Nothobranchius furzeri: one gene and its partner. The protein of the gene in region 1 interacts with the protein of each later gene in a pairwise test. Links are inferred from orthologs where the notes say so. Each region holds a gene or a part of one and is shown in the gene's direction. Other genes may lie near its edges. The genes, in order: dachd and E3 ubiquitin-protein ligase RNF14.

Region 1 (3,819 bases):
AACTGTTGTGAGCCTGTGTGTGTGTATTTTTCAATGGCTTTACCCTCTCGGTCCGCCAGGCAACAGTATTTGTTGCATTTTTCAAACATGAAGTGGGAGTGGAGTAAGTTTCTTGTAGGGGGTGACTTGCTCTTTAAGAAAATAATATTATTTAGTGACAGTTTGCCTCGGCAGAAATGATAAATGATCTGTATTCTTAGGGTCCCCCCCCCACCCCCCCCCCCACCCCCCACCCCCCCCAAGGCACTTCACAACATATTAAGTCGCTGGTGGTGATGAGCTACAATGTAGCCACAGCTGCCCTGGGGCGCACTGATTAAATTGAGACTGCTGAACACAGGCGCCACTGCTCCCTCTGACCACCACCTGCAGGCAAGATGGGTTAAGGGTCTTGTCCAGGGACACGACAGCAGCATTCTCTGGCGGGAGCTGGGATCGAATGTCCTAGGCAGAAACCAGAATAAAATCATTCTTAACTGTACAAGTTTATTCCAATCCAAAAACACAGCATAGAAACAGCTAAGTCATATTAGCAATAGCTAATTGCTAATTGTTCATGTTTTATTGGACTGAATAGATGTTAAATTATCTTTAATGTTGTAGAAATTATGTCATAGGAAGTAAAGTTGATAGAGGAAGCTAATGAAAAGGCTTTATTCAATAGAGCTGCCTTCTTTATTTTATGTTTCCCCCTCTCCTCTAACACGACCAGATCTCTTGATGTTTAACCATCACCTGCAGTTCCAGCCAGTTCAGTCTGGTGGCGCTGTGGCTTACACGAGCGAACAATATTTGCAGGACCTGAAGAACCATCTGCCTGCAGCGTTCTCGTTTGCACAGACAAATCTGGAGAAATCAGCTGAGGGCAGGAAGGCTTATTATGATCAGAAGGCCTCACATTCTGAACTCAACATGGGTGATGAGGCCTGGTTCTACATTTTCGCTCCTAAAACTGGGAACACCAAGAACACCTCTGGGAAGCTGGCTAAGAAACTTTTGCCGAAGTGGTCAGGCCCACTTTAAACTCGACTCTCTCTCTCTTCTGTTGTCTCTGAGTGAATACGAAGCTGTTATCTAATCCCTGCAATAAAACGTTCCTATCTTCTGGTTTAAAATAACCTCGCAGATCCATAAGGCTGATTTCATATTTGCTATGGAATCTTTTGTCTTATGGCTTATTAAATAGCATGTAATTTCAATCATTAAAATTTTTTGAGCCAACATTTGGGGAAAAAAAATCTGATTCGGCTCAGAAAACGTCACTTGGTGCATTTTTGTTTTTTATAAACACACATTTTTAAGTTTGTGCTTTGAGATCAAATTGTAGAGAAAAAAGTGAATCAGTACAAAACAGATTTCATTACCAAGCTCTCACACTTTCGTTAAACTGAAACACTCACACACATTAACACCACCCATCGACTCAGAGAGCTGTTTAGACATCAGCTCAGACCCCCTCAATCAGAAAGATGAATGCCTTTCTCCGTCTCTCTGGGTGTAATGATGTGTGGACCCGCTGCCCTTCTCATTGCACTCGTTCCACCGTCATCAGAGTCCTGCTTCTCCTTTGGCTCTGCGGTAATTAGAGCGCCACAACAAAACCCGTCGCGAGCTCCCAACACTCCTCTTAGTCATCTTTGATAATGATCTTCGCCTTGAATATTTATATACAAATCAACTAAATGAAACCAAGCAGAAAATGAAGATAAAGCAACTTAGAATAAATTGGGGTTAGAAGAAGCAACAATTAGTAAGCTATCGTCCAGTGCATTTGATCTAATTGCATGTGGATGGGGAATAATTGTGATGAAGGTCTTCATGTAAGAATGCAGAGCTGTCTGAGGTGATTCTTACCTTTAGGCTGAAGAAAATCCCCTCACAGATGTTCTAAAGCAGAGGTTTAAGACATATGTACGAACATTAACTAAAGCTAATCTGCACTAATCCTTCTCTCTTATTTTCCTTTCAAGGAACAAGATTTTCGTTTAATCTTTTAAAGTGGTCTTGATCAGCCATTTTAGTCATTTTCTGTCCAGTTCTTGTGTGTGCTTACATAAACACACAAAGAAAGTCAGAGTGAAGGACAAAAACAGTAAATTAGGTATAAAAACAGCAACTACACCTTAAATACACATTAATGAAAACGAGAACACATATTTAGATAATAGGTTAAATGTGACCTTGAAGGTGCAGCTACTGGAAGGTCAAAAGGTGCAGACTTATCACCACATTAAAGTGACAGTGTGTAGTTTCCTGGCACTAGGGGGCAGTGCGTACATCTCATGGTAGTTTTAAAGCACATCGCCGTGATGTTACCTGTGGAACAGGAAGCATGCCTCGGCGTGACTCCTCAGACTTTGATGGTCATCCAGTTAATTCAATCAAGAAAATTCTGTGCCAATTGTAATTTTCTGGTGCTGTAGTTTACGGATCAGCTCGGGCTCCTGCACCTCAAACTACGGCAATACCGCTCGGCAAAAACATATTGCATCTCTTTCTTTTTTATTCTGCTCTTTCACATAGGTTTTGGAAAGAGTTTAGCAGTTTTGTTTTTTACTTTCTGAACGTTTTCAAATGTGGTAATGTAACTTCTGTAAGTCGTACGTCCATCCAGTCATCTTGTGTGACATCATCAACAGACGCAGGAACCAGCCAGAAGGAAACGTGATGCTAGACCTGAGCCCTATTAACTTTGCACCTGATTCTTATGGTTATTTGTTACAAGGCCGCTAATATTTTGCAACTACTGGACATAATTATTTTTATTTTTCTACATAATTTCGATGGATAATTCCAACGTTAAAAACTACACATTCTCACTTCAATGTCAGCCGTCTTTAGTGAAGATAAACAAATAATTCAAATTCCACATCAGATTTGTGTTCCAAAAAGCTGTTTTGAAGTAATTGCACTAAGAGGTAGTCCATGACGTCAGAGCATAGTTTTCCTCCACACCACAAGTGGGCGCTATACATCAGTTGAGTTCTGCTCCAGTCAATGTTCACACAAGTCATTTAAAGCTTTCACAGTGGATAAAGAGGAGTGTTTCTACAATTAAAGGACTCTAAAGCATGGGTTGAAGCCACGAGCTGCTAAACACGCTAATGTTGGTGAGGATGTCTGCTAGATTTTCCAGTTATTGAAAACATTAGACCAAAATCTGAGGCCACAGTACCTGCTCGTGTTTTTTATCAGGTTTTTTTTTCTGTGTTAATTTTCCTTCTTCCATCATTAATCACATTTAAATATAATTATTTATAATGTTAATATATAAATAAATGACAAATCAGTCAAACTAATTTCTACATGCAAATCATAAAATATAAAAAATAAGCCCAGTTTAATCTCATGTCCACAGATGATCAGACATATCTGGCTTTTAGTTTTTAAACATACATTTTAATGACTAAAAAGGAAAAGATTGCCTGTCACTTTATGTAGAGGTCTTAAATAGTCTTCTTCACCTGTGTGTGTGTGTGTGTGTGTGTGTGTGTGTGTGTGTGTGTGTGTGTGTGTGTGTGTGTGTGTGTGTGTGTGTGTGTGTGTGTGTGTGTGTGTGTGTGTGTGTGTGTGTGTGTGTGTGTGTGGGTGCAGGGCCTTCTGAAAGTGGCAATCGACAATGCGCGAGCTCAGGAGAAGCAGGTACAGCTGGAGAAGACGGAGCTGAAGATGGAGCTGTTCAGAGAGCGGGAGCTCAGGGAGACTCTGGAGAAGCAGCTCGCCATGGAGCAGAAAAACAGAGGTACTACCTGCCATTGTGTGTGTGTGTGTGTGTGTGTGTGTGTGTGTGTGTGTGTGTGTGTGTGTGTGTGTGTGTGT
Region 2 (4,570 bases), on another chromosome or scaffold:
GCGTCCCCAGAGCACCTGTGGCTACATTGGACCTCAACGCCAACAGTGTTTGTGTTGCTATGATTCAGTTTGCCCAGTAATTGTGGAGGCAGAGCTCCAGTCTTTGATCCGCTGCACTCATAAACTCAGCCTCACACACGGACAGCAATAACCTAACATCAGTGTGATCTTGTCTAAAATGGAGCTGAATTGTTATAATTAATCAAACATAAAAAAACTACACTTGTTGGAAAAACTAACAACAGTGTGTGAATCTCCAGTACTTACTCAGTGTTTGCAATGATTACTCAGCAGAGTTGATGCTGCTTTAGTTATCAGCCTTGTGATGAATAGCAGTAAAGTTTGCACCACTGCTAAGACATTTCTCCAAACAATTAGCGTAAAGTACAAAACACGGTAGATAACCTGCAAAAGCAAGTCAGTCGCTCAAAATGGGCTCATTCTTCAAAAGCGAGTTCCTTCATCAAAATGGATCATTTGTTCTTCAAAGCAAGTATTTATGTCAATGACAGTGTCGGTGTCGTCACAATGAAAAGTTATGACAGCAGCATCTTTGAACTATCAAGTCAAACGGTTTGAACACGTTTTCATTGTGACATGACTCTGGAAGTGCTCCCCAAAGTCATGTAGAGTCAAATCAGCGTTGTATAGGATGCATGGCATTTAGAAAACTAGAATTAAATCAAAATCAGCACAATGAATATGCACTTTATACTGTACATTTGCTACTGTTCACAGCATTTGGAAAAACAACATTTACAACAAATATAAACTCCCTTTGGCTCAGTAAACCTTACTGCAGTAGTTTTGAATCTAAAAATCCTGTAAAACAGATGGTGCTGCAAATCAGACATGGACAACTAGACGCTCCCGTTAGTCTGGCCACATATTTTCATCTACATCACAGCAAATATCAGCTCTGTCAACGCACAGAGGGAAGTATCTTCCTGAATCCACGCTCTGCATGACTCTGCTGTGATGTCATCACAAGCTGCATCCATGGCTGGTGTCACCTGGGTATGTGGACGCTGATCATACACCTTCCACCTCCAGGAAGAGAAAAACTCCTCAGTTGGATTTAGGAACTGAGAGTAGGGGGAAGATAATAAATATGATAACAATTCTGCTCCATTTTAGACAAGATCACACTGATGTTGGGTTATTGCTGTCAGTGTGTGAGGCTGAGTTTATGAATGCAGCAGATCAAAGACTGAGCTCTGCCTCCACTTACTGAGCAAGCTGAATCATAGCAACACACACACACACACACACACACACACACACACACACACACACACACACACACACACACACACACACACACACACACACACACACACACACACACACACAAATCAGAGGAGTTTAGATGTGTCCTGACCGGGATTTGAACCCCAATCTCAGTCCCAGGGCGGCCACTCTACCACTTATGAAGCCACCAATATTTTTCAACAAATGGGCATCATTTAATTCATTTTCAACAACATTTCAATGAATGAGATTAATTTTAAAAACTACATATTGTCTCTTTAATAGATAATGATAATCAGAACAGTAACTTTATCTAACTGGCTACTCCCACATATGGGCTTTCTTTCTTTTTTTGTGATTTTTGCTACCACACGAACGTTCCCGTCAGAGAGATGTAGAGAGAAGTTTAGTTTTCCCGCTTTCACTGCAATAATTCGCAGTGGCACAATATCTCCACTGGGGGGCGCTGTCAGTGGATTCGCATACCAATATTCACCGGCAGAGAAGGCGGTGTTTGGATGTGTCTCGGATGTAGCCGGATTGAGTGCCGGGCTGTGTGTAAGGAGTTGACGTCGTGACTCGTCATGACAGGAACCAATCAGGGCAAAAGTCACTTGTGCACTTGGGACAGAAAAGGTAATAAAATGAAATAAATTTTCAACATTTGTTGTACATGTCTTGATGTTGTTTGTGTTATTGTATCTTAATCACACAACAGAAAGAAAAGTTAAAAATGTGTTGCTACCACAGAGCTACTGTTTACATCAGCTAGCTGTTAGCTAGCTACAAATACCGGTGTTCTTTACCCTCGTTAGGCAATCAACCGAGTTTGTTAGCTGCTTCCATCTTTAGACATGTTATGTATTTAATCGATGCTGGTTTATAATCTAGCAACCATGGCGTCTGGCATGGTAAAAGTGGTGGTTTATATTGTGTTGGGTGCTAACTTATAAGCTACAACTTAGCTTAGCATTAGCTAAGTTCCTACAAAGTATAAATATTTGCGCATTTAATTATAAATTAGCTCCATCTGGTTATTTAATTTTGATGTCTTTAGGAAAGTTTTGAAATGTTTAATTCAGTCGACACACAAACGCGTTAGTTTGTGTTTTTCTTCACTAAGTGGTATAGTGTTAGCAGTAGTAGTACTCGTATTTGTTTCTGTTGTAAATTTTAGATGTTGTTGTTGTTCCAGGAATGTAAATGTCTGAGGATAAGGAAGCTCAGGAGGATGAGCTGCTTGCATTAGCAAGTATCTATGATGAGGAGGAGTTCCGCCGTGCGGAGTCTGCACAAGGAGGAGAGATCCAACTCTGTCTGGAGCTTCCTCCTGGTTTTAAAGTTCTTGTAAAAGGTATCGGTGATCAAGATGTGCAACTGGTGCACAGCTTCCCTACAGGCTGTGCATTTAGATTCACTACTCTGCTTTAGCCTCCCTTTTTCTTTGTTGCAGGCGAGAAGACAACTGAACACAATGTGTGTTTCTTACCTCCTTTGGTGCTCAATTTTGAGCTTCCTTCAGATTACCCTTCCACACGTCCACCATCCTTCACTCTCAGCTCTAAATGGATGACCAAATCCCAGGTAAGAGTCGTACTAACTCATCCAGGCCTTTTGTAAATGCCACATCTAGCATCTTCCTCTGGCATCCTCTTCAATTCTTCCTCTGCTCTTTGATTCTTCCAGCTGAGCTCCCTATGCCGACATCTGGATGAGTTGTGGGAGGAAAACCAGGGATCAGAGATTCTTTTCACATGGATCCAGTTTCTCAAAGAGGAGCCCCTAGAATTTCTGGGCATCCAGTCTCCCGTGGAAGTCATCAGGAACAGCAAGGCTGCTGGCGAACGAAGAAAAACTGACCTTGCAAGCAAAGGTATGATGAGGCATTTTACCAAAGCTTGCTAGTAGAAAATGTGGTTTAACACTGCAATTGCTGTTATTGTTTTTCAAATAAATTCTGTATTTTATTATTGTAAGTACTTCTCATGCCCTCTTTTGGCTTTCATTCCTGACAAAATTAGGTTGCATCATAATACTTTCCATCAGAACATCTCTTTTCTTACCCAGGTGTCTCTTCACACCACTGTTAACTTTTCAAATCCTTGAATGCACATTGGAACTTCTCTTTTTGGTCTTTTCTCCTTCAGAGAAACCAGAGGAGAAGAAAACAGAAGTAATAAAGGAGACATCTGAGCAGCACGGTTCACTGTTGTCTCATCCAGACCAGCGAGCTGTCGTGTTGATGGACCCTCATTCCGACCCCCTACGTCAGCTCCTGGACTTTGACGAAACTCAGAGACAACGGGTGTTTGACGGAAAGGTGTTCAGCTGCGGGATCTGCTTCGCGGATAAGCTGGGCTCCACCTGCCTCTGCTTTAAGGAGTGCCTGCACGTTTACTGCAAGGACTGCATGAGAGAATACTTTGAGATTCAAATACGAGAAGGCAATGTTCAGTGCCTTAACTGCCCCGAGCCCAAATGCACGTCAGTCGCTACGCCATCACAGGTCAGGCACTTCTACAGGAATGTGGCTTTTAACAAGTTCAGCTTCAGCCCAACCGTATTGATAATTGTGTTGTTTTCTACTTTATCTGCCCTGATCTCATCTCTCAGGTGAAACAGCTGGTAGACGAGGAGCTGTTTGCCCGCTACGACCGTCTGCTGCTCCAGTCCACTTTGGACCTCATGGCTGATGTGGTCTACTGTCCCCGCCGTTCGTGTGGAACTGCTGTAATGGTGGAACCAGACACAACAATGGGCATTTGCTCAGCTTGCCAGTATGCTTTTTGCACGTTGTGTAAGCTGGGCTATCACGGTGTCTCTCACTGCAAAATCACTGCAGGTAACGGCTCAGACAAACTCTCAGAAGCTCATAAGGAGTAAGGAAACGGTTTCACTTGCTACGTTTTCTTTCTGCCTTGTTCTCCAGATGACCTGCGCAGCCTGAGAGATGAGTACCTGTCAGCCACGCCTGAGGGGAAGAAGTTCATGGAGCAGCGTTTTGGGAAACAGGTGGTGCAGAAAGCGGTGGAGGAATCTTTTAGCCGGGATTGGCTGAAGGAGAACTGTAAATGCTGTCCTAACTGTGGAACAAACATTCAGGTAGACCAGCGCCCCCTAATGGAGAAACTAAAGCTCATATTTAGAAACACCAGGGCTCACCCCAAAATCCCTCTACCTCCGCTCCGCTCCGCCCCCGCCTTCCGCAGCCGCTCGCTTCCGAACTCAATTTTTACTGGTACCCGCTCTACTCCGGTGCGGAGACCTGAGGTGCGCAGACAGGCATGCATGGGATTTTCGAGATCTTGCGATACAGTCC

The links.
Region 2: the proteins of dachd (region 1) and E3 ubiquitin-protein ligase RNF14 interact in binary tests that used the Homo sapiens proteins (3 or more experiments, as listed by UniProt). The two-hybrid records come from large-scale screens. The link is inferred for Nothobranchius furzeri from reciprocal best matches to the Homo sapiens genes DACH1 and RNF14.

What each region holds. Positions count from the first base shown.
Region 1 is NC_091754.1:28,486,464-28,490,282, forward strand, and holds part of dachd (dachshund d), read left to right. Parts: intron 1-3,594; coding exon 3,595-3,742; intron 3,743-3,819. UniProt on the Homo sapiens protein: Transcription factor that is involved in regulation of organogenesis. Seems to be a regulator of SIX1, SIX6 and probably SIX5.
Region 2 is NC_091750.1:54,468,927-54,473,496, forward strand, and holds the start of E3 ubiquitin-protein ligase RNF14, read left to right. Parts: upstream 1-1,754; 5' UTR 1,755-1,887; intron 1,888-2,446; 5' UTR 2,447-2,454; coding exon 2,455-2,605; intron 2,606-2,704; coding exon 2,705-2,835; intron 2,836-2,937; coding exon 2,938-3,124; intron 3,125-3,398; coding exon 3,399-3,757; intron 3,758-3,864; coding exon 3,865-4,093; intron 4,094-4,180; coding exon 4,181-4,353; intron 4,354-4,570. UniProt on the Homo sapiens protein: E3 ubiquitin-protein ligase that plays a key role in the RNF14-RNF25 translation quality control pathway, a pathway that takes place when a ribosome has stalled during translation, and which promotes ubiquitination and degradation of translation factors on stalled ribosomes.